Coturnix japonica: one gene and its partner. The protein of the gene in region 2 binds, or shares a complex with, the protein of the main gene of each other region. Links are inferred from orthologs where the notes say so. Each region holds a gene or a part of one and is shown on either strand. Other genes may lie near its edges. The genes, in order: CNOT11 and CNOT6L.

Evidence for each region.
Region 1: CNOT6L (region 2) and CNOT11 share a complex: the UniProt entries of both Homo sapiens proteins name them as parts of the CCR4-NOT complex. The link is inferred for Coturnix japonica from reciprocal best matches to the Homo sapiens genes CNOT6L and CNOT11.

Annotation. Positions count from the first base shown.
Region 1 is NC_029516.1:120,253,327-120,257,910, reverse strand, and holds the start of CNOT11 (CCR4-NOT transcription complex subunit 11), read right to left. Parts: upstream 2,916-4,584; 5' UTR 2,844-2,915; coding exon 2,432-2,843; intron 2,286-2,431; coding exon 2,121-2,285; intron 1-2,120. UniProt on the Homo sapiens protein: Component of the CCR4-NOT complex which is one of the major cellular mRNA deadenylases and is linked to various cellular processes including bulk mRNA degradation, miRNA-mediated repression, translational repression during translational initiation and general transcription regulation.
Region 2 is NC_029519.1:30,849,015-30,853,414, reverse strand, and holds the start of CNOT6L (CCR4-NOT transcription complex subunit 6-like), read right to left. Parts: upstream 2,924-4,400; 5' UTR 2,855-2,923; intron 2,606-2,854; coding exon of another isoform or gene 2,116-2,605; exon of another isoform or gene 2,101-2,115; intron 827-2,100; exon of another isoform or gene 679-826; intron 258-678; exon of another isoform or gene 1-257. Other genes in the region: MRPL1 (39S ribosomal protein L1, mitochondrial), read left to right, coding at 2,116-2,605. UniProt on the Homo sapiens protein: Has 3'-5' poly(A) exoribonuclease activity for synthetic poly(A) RNA substrate.

The DNA of each region.
Region 1 (4,584 bases), on a different chromosome or scaffold from region 2:
GTGAAGAGAGAAACCTGCAGAGATACATTTACTTTCTGCAATGATAAGGGTCATACTAGAACTGAAGTCACCTATTCAGATTCAGCCAACACACTTCAGTGGCACCACGTAAGCTGCTTTTGCATAGGAGTTTAATTGATACAGGATTCTACAGTTACAGCTATAAAGTCCTGTAAGAGCATCCCTCTAAAGCCCAAATTACAGAGCATAAACAAGGTACATAGAAGTAATACTAAATTTAGCATATGAAGCTGAAGACGTGAAAGAGTGGTAAAATAAACTATTACAACCAATCAATATTTGCACTGTCAAATTTTAGGTGTTCTTCTGTCACAGTCTCTCGCTCTTCCATACCTGAAGGCTTAAGGGCTGACCTTCCATATTCTCTGTATTAGTGAGAACCATGTTTTCTATTACCTTGGTAAAAGCAAACCAACAAAAGCCCAACAACATGCAGGAAAGCCAAGAGCCTGCCATACAATGCCATCTTATGTTCCTTCCCTCCCCCTCCCAAGGAGGATATTAAGTAGCAGATAAAGTCTCAAGTAATCTGAAGGCCAAATTTGCTGGTCCCACACGAAATCAACACCATTTCTTATCCGGATGATTAATTAAGTGTAGTGCCCTCAGCTTCAGTACCCCATCCTTATCTCTTTTAACAAAGCACACTTTTTTGTGCAGCCATATAACCCTTTGCAGCTCCTCATCCGTATGAAACTCTATTTCAGATCCATGAGAGACGCTTACAGCAAAACTCCTGTAGGTAACAAAAGGACACAGACACAAAGCTCTGCCTACTGCTAGTTTATACTAGAAATGTCCATCTTCCAATTATGTCAGCCCATGCAAAACACTGGAATATATGCTCAAACTTTATACGCTGTTGGAAATTCCAGCTTGTGAGTTCTACCATTCAGCTCCTACAGGGATCAGCTGAGTCAACGTAAGAAGTTCTCTGAGAAGAAAACAAGGTGACATACTGGGTGTCCTTCATTGTCATCCGTAGTCTAAAACTTACACCTATATAGGTATAAAGTCATGGATTGGTTGTATACCCTCAAATCCCCTCATCTCAAATGACTAATGATGCTTAATTAGAACAAAAGTTTAAGATACATTCTTACATGTTCCCGAACATCTCCAGGGATGGTGACCCCACCACATCCCTGGGCAGCCCAGTGTAAGCAGAAGGAAGGGGTGAGCGCTGTTAGCTAGAACACGGTTGTATTTCAGAAGAGAACACAGCAACTTGAACCAGTATGTTCAAATTGAAGAAAACAATTCCTACGAATGCAATCACTTATGTTTTATCAGGCTCTCTTGATCTGGAGAATCAAGACGCTCTATTCCAGCAACTGACATTCAATAGAAGAGCCTACAAGAAAAGTTACCACAGTGAATCATAGAATCATAGAAAGGCCTGGGTTGCAAAGGACCACAGTGATCATCTGGTTTCAACCCCCTGCTATGTGCAGGGTCACCAACCACCAGACCAGGCTGCCCAGAGCCACATCCAGCCTGGCCTTCAATGCCTGCAGGGATGGGGCATCCACAGCCTCCTTGGGCAACCTGTTACAGTACGTCACCAACTGAACTGAAGTTTAGAAGCCAAGTACTGTATTGTGCAGAATAGAGTACCTAGGAAATAAACTGCTCGAGTTGGCAACTCATTCTAAGCAATATTTTCCATTTCAGATCAGCTCTAGATGCAACTTGTTGCTCCACACGATCAGAACAATCCTATTCCTGCCCAAGAATAAGCACTGAGTTCCTTATAGCCTAGTAAAGGCAGAACATTTAGTGTGAGCTAACACTGCAAAACCTGACCACAGTCCAACTTTTGCCACACAGACAGAAGCACCTCAAAGTCAAACAGCAATTAACATTTCACAGAATCACAGAATGACCCGGGTTGGAAGGGACCTCAAGGATCATGTAGTTCCAACCCCCCTGCCTGGCAGGGCCACCAAACATACACATTTACTAGATCAGGTTGCCCAGGGCCCCGTCCAACCTGGTCTTGAACACCTCCAAGGACGGGGCATCCACAACCTCCCTGGGCAGCCTGTTCCAGGGCCTAACCACTCTCCTATCACAGCACAGCCACATCTCCTCCTTACCCGCCAATGCCAGCTGTAGCCCGCTTATATCCACCGACTGGGCCATGTTGCCAACGTCCATGGCAGCGATCTGGCGCGGGGTCTTCTTGAACAGCTCCCTGGGGGGGGCCAGCATCAGCTGCGAGAGGAAGAACTTCTCGGGCGGGGTTATGGGCGGCAAGAAGCCTGCGGGGAGAGAGGGGAGCGGTAAGATTCCTGAGGCCATCACTACCCCGCGTGCTCCTTAAGCGTGGAGAGATCATCTCGTACAGTAACGTTACGGCAAAACGAGTGACCCTTCCCGCTGTCACAGCCCCGGCCGTTCCCGGCACCTGAGAGCGGGGTGCGCTCCGCCTCGTCGCCGCCGCGTTCGGGAGCGGGGTTGAGCAGGTGGGCGAAGACAGCGGCGAAGGGGTTTGCGGCGAGGGGCTCGGTGCGGTACATCTCCCATAGCAGGTACAGGGCGGTGAGGCGCTGCGCGGGGCTGGGCAGCAGGTCGGGCTGCTGCAGCAGCAGCACCAGCACGGAGCCCAGGCGGAAATGCTCGGCCTTGCCGAAGTAGTGGTGGAAGGCGCTGGAGAGGCCCTCGAAGGTGCTGCCGCCCGCCTCCTCCGACACGATGCCCAGCAGGCTCGTCAGCTCCTTCGGCGACAGGCTCATCCTGCCGCCCGCCGCTCCACCGCCGCCACCCGCTCCTCCCGCCTCACCGCCCGCCTCGGCCGGGCTGCCCCCGCCCCCGGGCATCCGCCTCACGGCGCACGGCCCCGCCGCTGCACAACACCGGAAGGCCGAGCGTTGAGGCGCCGGACGCGCTTTACGGCACGGCAGGGGATGGGCCGGGACATTGGGCCGGGACTGGCGGGGCGGGGCGGGGACGGAGCGCGACGGGCGTTGGGGCCAGTAGGGGGAGCGCAGCGCGTTCCACGCACACCGCCCTGTGGTGCTGTCATCTGATAGGACTAGGGGTAATGGGATGAAAGTACAGCATAGGAAGTTCGAACTTCTTTACAGTGAGGGTGATGGAGCACTGGAACAGGCTGCCCAGGGAGGTGGTGGAGTCTCCTTCTCTGGAGATATTCAAGACCCGCCTGGACGCCTACCTGTGTGACGTGGTGTAGGGAGCCTGCTTTGGCAGGGGGGTTGGACTCCATGACCTCTAGTGGTCCCTTCCAACCCCTACAATTCTGAGATTCTGTGACCTGAAACTGAGCAGCGGATTTTGTGCTTCTGGTGTGTGCAAGTTGTCTGGGTGCTCATCCACTCTCAAGTAGATCTGTGGTGCTTCTGCTCAGGTAGCAACAGAAATAGGCAGCAGGAGGGAGGTGAAAGAAAAAGGTGGCAAAGAAGTGATATTAAATTGACCTGCTTCACAGCAAGTGTTTGAGTTTCTTCTAGCGAAGAAGCTGAATCCTTCAGCTAGGAAATAACTTCCACTGGTGTATTTTTATCCCACATTTCACATGGGAAGAACACGATGGGAAGGAATTAAGTCACACCTTGAAGTCAAAGGGGAAATCAGAACACATCCAGATTGTTTTGTTTATTCTCACAAGGCTTTTCTCTTGTACACAGATTCCTTCCCTTAGTAATTTAAGTGACCCTGCCCATCTACAGTGTATTTTTAATAGCAACAAATCTAAAAGGGTTGGGGAAGTTAGGTTTCGTGTGAGCCTCTCCATATGCAGCTTTCTAGTGACCATTGCATGTTATCTTTCCTAGTTCAGCTCTTCAGTTCAAAACCTACCATGAGACAACAGAAACAGATTTATTACTCCTGGAGTAATCAACAATATTGGCGTGCTAACAATGCCTAAAAGCCTTCCTGAGCTTCACTTGTTCATCAGACCTCAAAGATGTCAAGCGATTCTTGGATGTATTTTGTAAAAACACCCCAGATACGATTTTACAATGGCTTCATATGTGCTGTTCCATGGTCATTCAGAAACAAACATGGTTGGTGATAAATTCTTGAGCTTCTGTGAACTGTAGTGACACTTGGGTATTTTAAGGCAGTTTTCAAGTGTCAGCCCATGTCAAGTCATTATTATTATTTTCCCCAGGGAGGTGGTTGAATCGCCATCCCTGGTTGTGTTTAAGAGCCATTTGGATGTGGTGCTCAGGGATATGAGTTAGCAGAGGGTTGTTAGAGTTAGGGTGCTGGTTAGGCTGTGGTTGGACTTGATGATCTTCAAGGTCTTTTCCAACCTGGGTAATTCTATGATTACTTGGATTCCTATGTGAACATCACTTGGAAACTCTTCACTCTGAACTTGAATTGGAGTATTCAGCTTTTATCGTCTGAGCTCTGCAATTGCACGCCTGACTCACTTGGCACTATTTCTGTTCCCTGGTTCGATGACTCCGACTTACGCTTTGTTTCTGTTTTCATCTCAAATCAATATCAGTTGGATCTTTGCAGGAGGGAGGGCTTTGTTTGTGCTTAAACCACTAATCTGAAATCTGCTTTCTGATAAAGTGTTTAATA
Region 2 (4,400 bases):
CGCTGGCTCTTGAAGCCCTGCAGACCAGGTGACACCCGGTGCCTCACGGGCACTCTGGACTCACAGATCTCTTCCCAGAAAGCAAACCATTTGTTTGGATGTATCCCCCGCCCTCTAAACTTCAGCAACCTAAAAGTCTCCACAAGGCTGATCTAAGCACCAGTTCTGTGCTGTTACAGGAAATCTGCTCTAGAGCTGTGCATGTTACCGACACTATCACTGAAAGTAAAATGTTCTCAGAAAAAAGAAAAAGCACCTCCCCATTTTGCACAGTGACTCTGAACAAGGAAGACAGCAGCTGCAGAGACCCACCTCAATGTAAGATGTTCTTTGCAATCCTTCAGGTTTAAATTAGGTAAAGACACACCCTGGTGTGCAAATTCATTAACTCTTCTCCAATGGCTCCCTTTTATTTTACCTCCACAGTCCACAGACGCGTTGGGATCGTGTCCTGGCTGATTTCTGTAGGACTGGTGTGAGAGCTGAATATTGCTGTGCTTGGCAAGCTCAGGGCAAAGCCTGCCCTGCTTTTTATAAAAGCAAGATCAGTAAGGAAAAACAGCCAGAATCCAAACAATAAAAAAAAAAAAAAACAACACCAGCTTATCGCCCGAAACGAAGCTTTACAAAGATCCTTGCAAGGAAAAATAAACAAATAGCAGTCATAACACCACTTACTTCAGCAACAGAATGGCCACTGCAGATGTTCCCGAGCTCCTGATACCCGGGGCAGGGAGAGGAGCAGAGGCTGGTGGCGTCCCCACAGAGACAGACACACCAAGTCCTCCCACCCTCAAGGTGCTGAGCTTTGCTGGCAACCACACCACCGCCGCTACAGGGAAAAACACTCTTCAAAACGAAAACAAGCCCTATCAGTAAAAACGCACTTCTGCAGATAACTGCATCTACAGCAGGGACTTCTGCTGGCACAGCTATGTCACTCAAGGGTCACACCTCGCCACAGCGTTCGCACACAGAGCTGTGCCAGCAGAAGTTTGCCATATAGGCCTGGTGTGAAGCTCAGCGGACCAAAATGAATCTGCAAAGTTTGGTGTTTTTCATAGTGCTGCCAAACAAACTTTTTCCAGCAGTCTGACAACGAGTCCTCCTACTCCTTTGTTACAGGCACATCAGCATCTCAGTTTCTGAGGGGAAAGGAAACCTAACAGCAGCCCAAGGATGTGGCAGTACCTATCATCCACTTACATCATACTTTATACTTCAGTGAAATTCACAGCCCTTGCAGGAAGAAAAGGCAAAACTGAATAATGTTTGTTCTGTTGTACTTCAGCACTCTTCATGCTACAACTCCTCACTTTTCATAGTGAGAAAAGAACATAACTGATAGTGTCAAATGGGGTTTGCTTAGCGAGCGGCACAGCGCTGCAGAATTCCCACCTCTAAGCATGACCTGGCGGTCACGAGACTTCCATCAACCCACAACCAGTTCTGAAGACAGCAGGCAAAAAGATTTCACACCTGGGTAGATATTGGAACATAAGTTCAGTTCGGATGAATCAACACAGTACTGTGGGCCACACATACGGTGATGCACAGATATGGCAAGGTATGGAGCAGTATGACATCACCAGCACACGCCACTCATTTACTCTGGAGCAAAATGACACAACCAAGTAGCAACATCCCATTACCCTCGGCAGGACGCAGAGAGCTTGAGGCATTTGCAGTACCACAGCTCTCAGTTTGGAGAGCTCTGATAAGGCACACACCGGCCTGCAGCGGGGCACAGTGGGAACAGAAGGGGCTACGCTACCTCTGTCAGTCTGGAGTGCCGCCAGTGCATGGCCATGCCCAGCGAGCTGCCGTGTGGACGGACAGTACTCTCAGTACAAGGTTCACCATCACATCACATTTTGGGAGAGATACAGGGAGAAAACATTAGTGGTGCTGTGTTTGCAAAGGCCACACTCCAGCCCTACCAAAGCCCTCCAAACATGGGTGCTGCTTCTAGGAATTCCTGGGCTTTCGTCACAGTGACGACACTCTTACTGGACACAACACGCTTTGTATTTCTTTGTTAAAAAACTTGCACAGGGGTAAAAACATCTGCAAATGCTAAAAACAGCTGCGTTATCATTACTTTCATTATTGGCCATGTCTACACAAGCCAGGAGCAACTCAAGGCGAGCTGCTCCCCTCCATGCTGCCTCAGGGTGGGGGGCAGCTGCCTCTCAGAGCTGTGCTGGGCACAGCGGGGGCAAACTGCCCACCCCACAGACCGCATGTGGCCACGGGCCTCCTGTGCCAGCAGAGACCAATCAACACAACTTGCAGCTCCTAAAAGTGGACACTCAGTCTCCAAGTTTCAGCAGCGGGCAGACGAAGCTGCTCGTCCCGAGGTCCCGGGAGGTCAGACGGAACGTGGCCGAGGTTTTTGGGCGATCAGACAGAACACGGCGGGGCCGCCACACCGCGGGACGTGCTCCGCCATGTTCCACAGAGAAGTTTCCGAAGCAAGCCCCGAATTGCCGGTGCAAACTCGGACGTTCGTGCCCGTCCTCGCCTCCGCCAGCAGCCGAGCGCGGGGCCGCGGCGAGTGAACCCCCCTGGAGGGAAGCAACGCTCCCCGCCGCCCGGCGCCCAGGTGAGCGCCCGGCCCGGCTCGGCGTTGGGCCCGGGTATCCCGCACGGCCGCGCCCGGGCCCCGAACCGGGGATAACGCGCGGTCCCCCCGCCGCCCCGCATTCCCTCCGAGCGCTCTCCCTCCTCTCCCGGGCGGGCCCGCCGTCCCTCAGCCGCCCGGCCGGACACTGGCCCCGGTGCCGGCGGGCGGCGCAGGCCGCGACATGGCGGTCCCGCTCCCCGCCAGGCCCCGGCGGGCCGCGGAGCTCACCTGCATCCGGCGCGGCGGCGGCTGGCGGCGGGGCGGCGGCGGCGGGGCGGCGGGCAGCAACGACATGCGGGCGGCGGCCCGCCGGGGACGGGGAACGGGGCGGCGGCGGCGGCGGCTGCGGAGGCGGGGAGGAGCGGGCCGGGGCTCGGGCGGCGCGGAGGGCGGGGGAGCGGGAGGTGGGGACGGGAGGAGGAGGCGGCGGGAGCGGGGCGGGCGGCGCGGGGACCCCGGGGAGGCGCCGGGACCCCGAGGAGGTGGCGGGGAGCCCCCGTTGGGCCCTGCGGGGCGGCGGCTGCTCCTGGGGACGCCAGTGGGGACCCGATCGTAGGGAGGGAAAACAGCCCTCCGTGGGTAATTGTCGTTAATTACGGAGAGCGCCGTCTGACAGGGCGTACGTGAGGAGCAGGTCGCCCCGCGAAAGGCCTCTGGCAGTCGCGGACAGACTGAGGAAGTGACTCAGGTGTCGGGGTGACGGGGCCCCGCGCTCAGCCTGAGCCTCTGGGGGCGTAGGGCTCGTCTGGCATCACCTCTGTCTCCACAGGAGGTGTCCCCCTGCTGCCAAACCCTTTGGGCACCGCGCTGTCTGTGTCTGCAGAGCCGTGTCAAAGGGCAGGTAGAGCAGGTAAATGGTGTGTGTGCCAGCTTTGGAGCACAGTGTTCTCCAGCTGGGCACACCAGAGGTGGAGGCGGCCTTCCTGTGGGGACCATGCCTAAGTTCTACAAGAAAATGTGTGGGTGTCGAATGAGGGAAAGATGGAGAGTGGATTTTAAAGGGGGAAGATAAATTATGATAATAAAACTAGGGCAGAGAAAAGTGCAGGTCTTTGTGGGTTCACCTGTGGGACCAAAATAGTCGTATGTGAATGAGGAGCACAGAAGGAGCCTCCATGGTAGAGCACAGTTCAGCCAGCTGTGTCCAGTGTAAAGGAGTGGTTGTGAGCGGGTGCACACATGTACAGAGGAGGGCAGAGGGAGAGAGAAAGCAAGAAAAAAACCTTCAAGAATAACTTTACTGGGATGCGTTTTTATAGGAGAAAAGTCGTGTGCTGCCTCAGAAAGGCATGGGCACTGTGACTTCTATGACAGCTGCGCCTTTGGCTGGTCTGGTCATTTCCTCTCCTGAAAAATACCCACCCAATGGCTCACTGAAGGGACTGTACCTTCTCTTCTCCCGTTGCCTCTGTTAATCATTCTGTACATCTCCCGGCTCCCATTACAGGCCAGGGCCTCGCCACCCTCACCCCAGGTATTGTTTCCCTCCCTTCTCCAAAGGGAGCGTAACTGAGAAACCAGGTTCTGCAAGTGGCTGCCCAGGGTCACTGCTGGCAGGACCAGCATCTCCTGGGGCTTCACTAGGCACTTGGGTGGCAGACTGCAGCCATAGGCCCTGCTTCCTCTGCAGAATACACTGGTTACGTCTACATTCCTTGCTGTTTCAAGAGGTGATTTTTTTTTTTTCCTAGCACCAGGCAAGTTGTTTTTTCCTGTGTCCCTCAAATCAGCTACTCGGATTTAAACATAACAATTCTAGTCCAAGAGGCTCCTG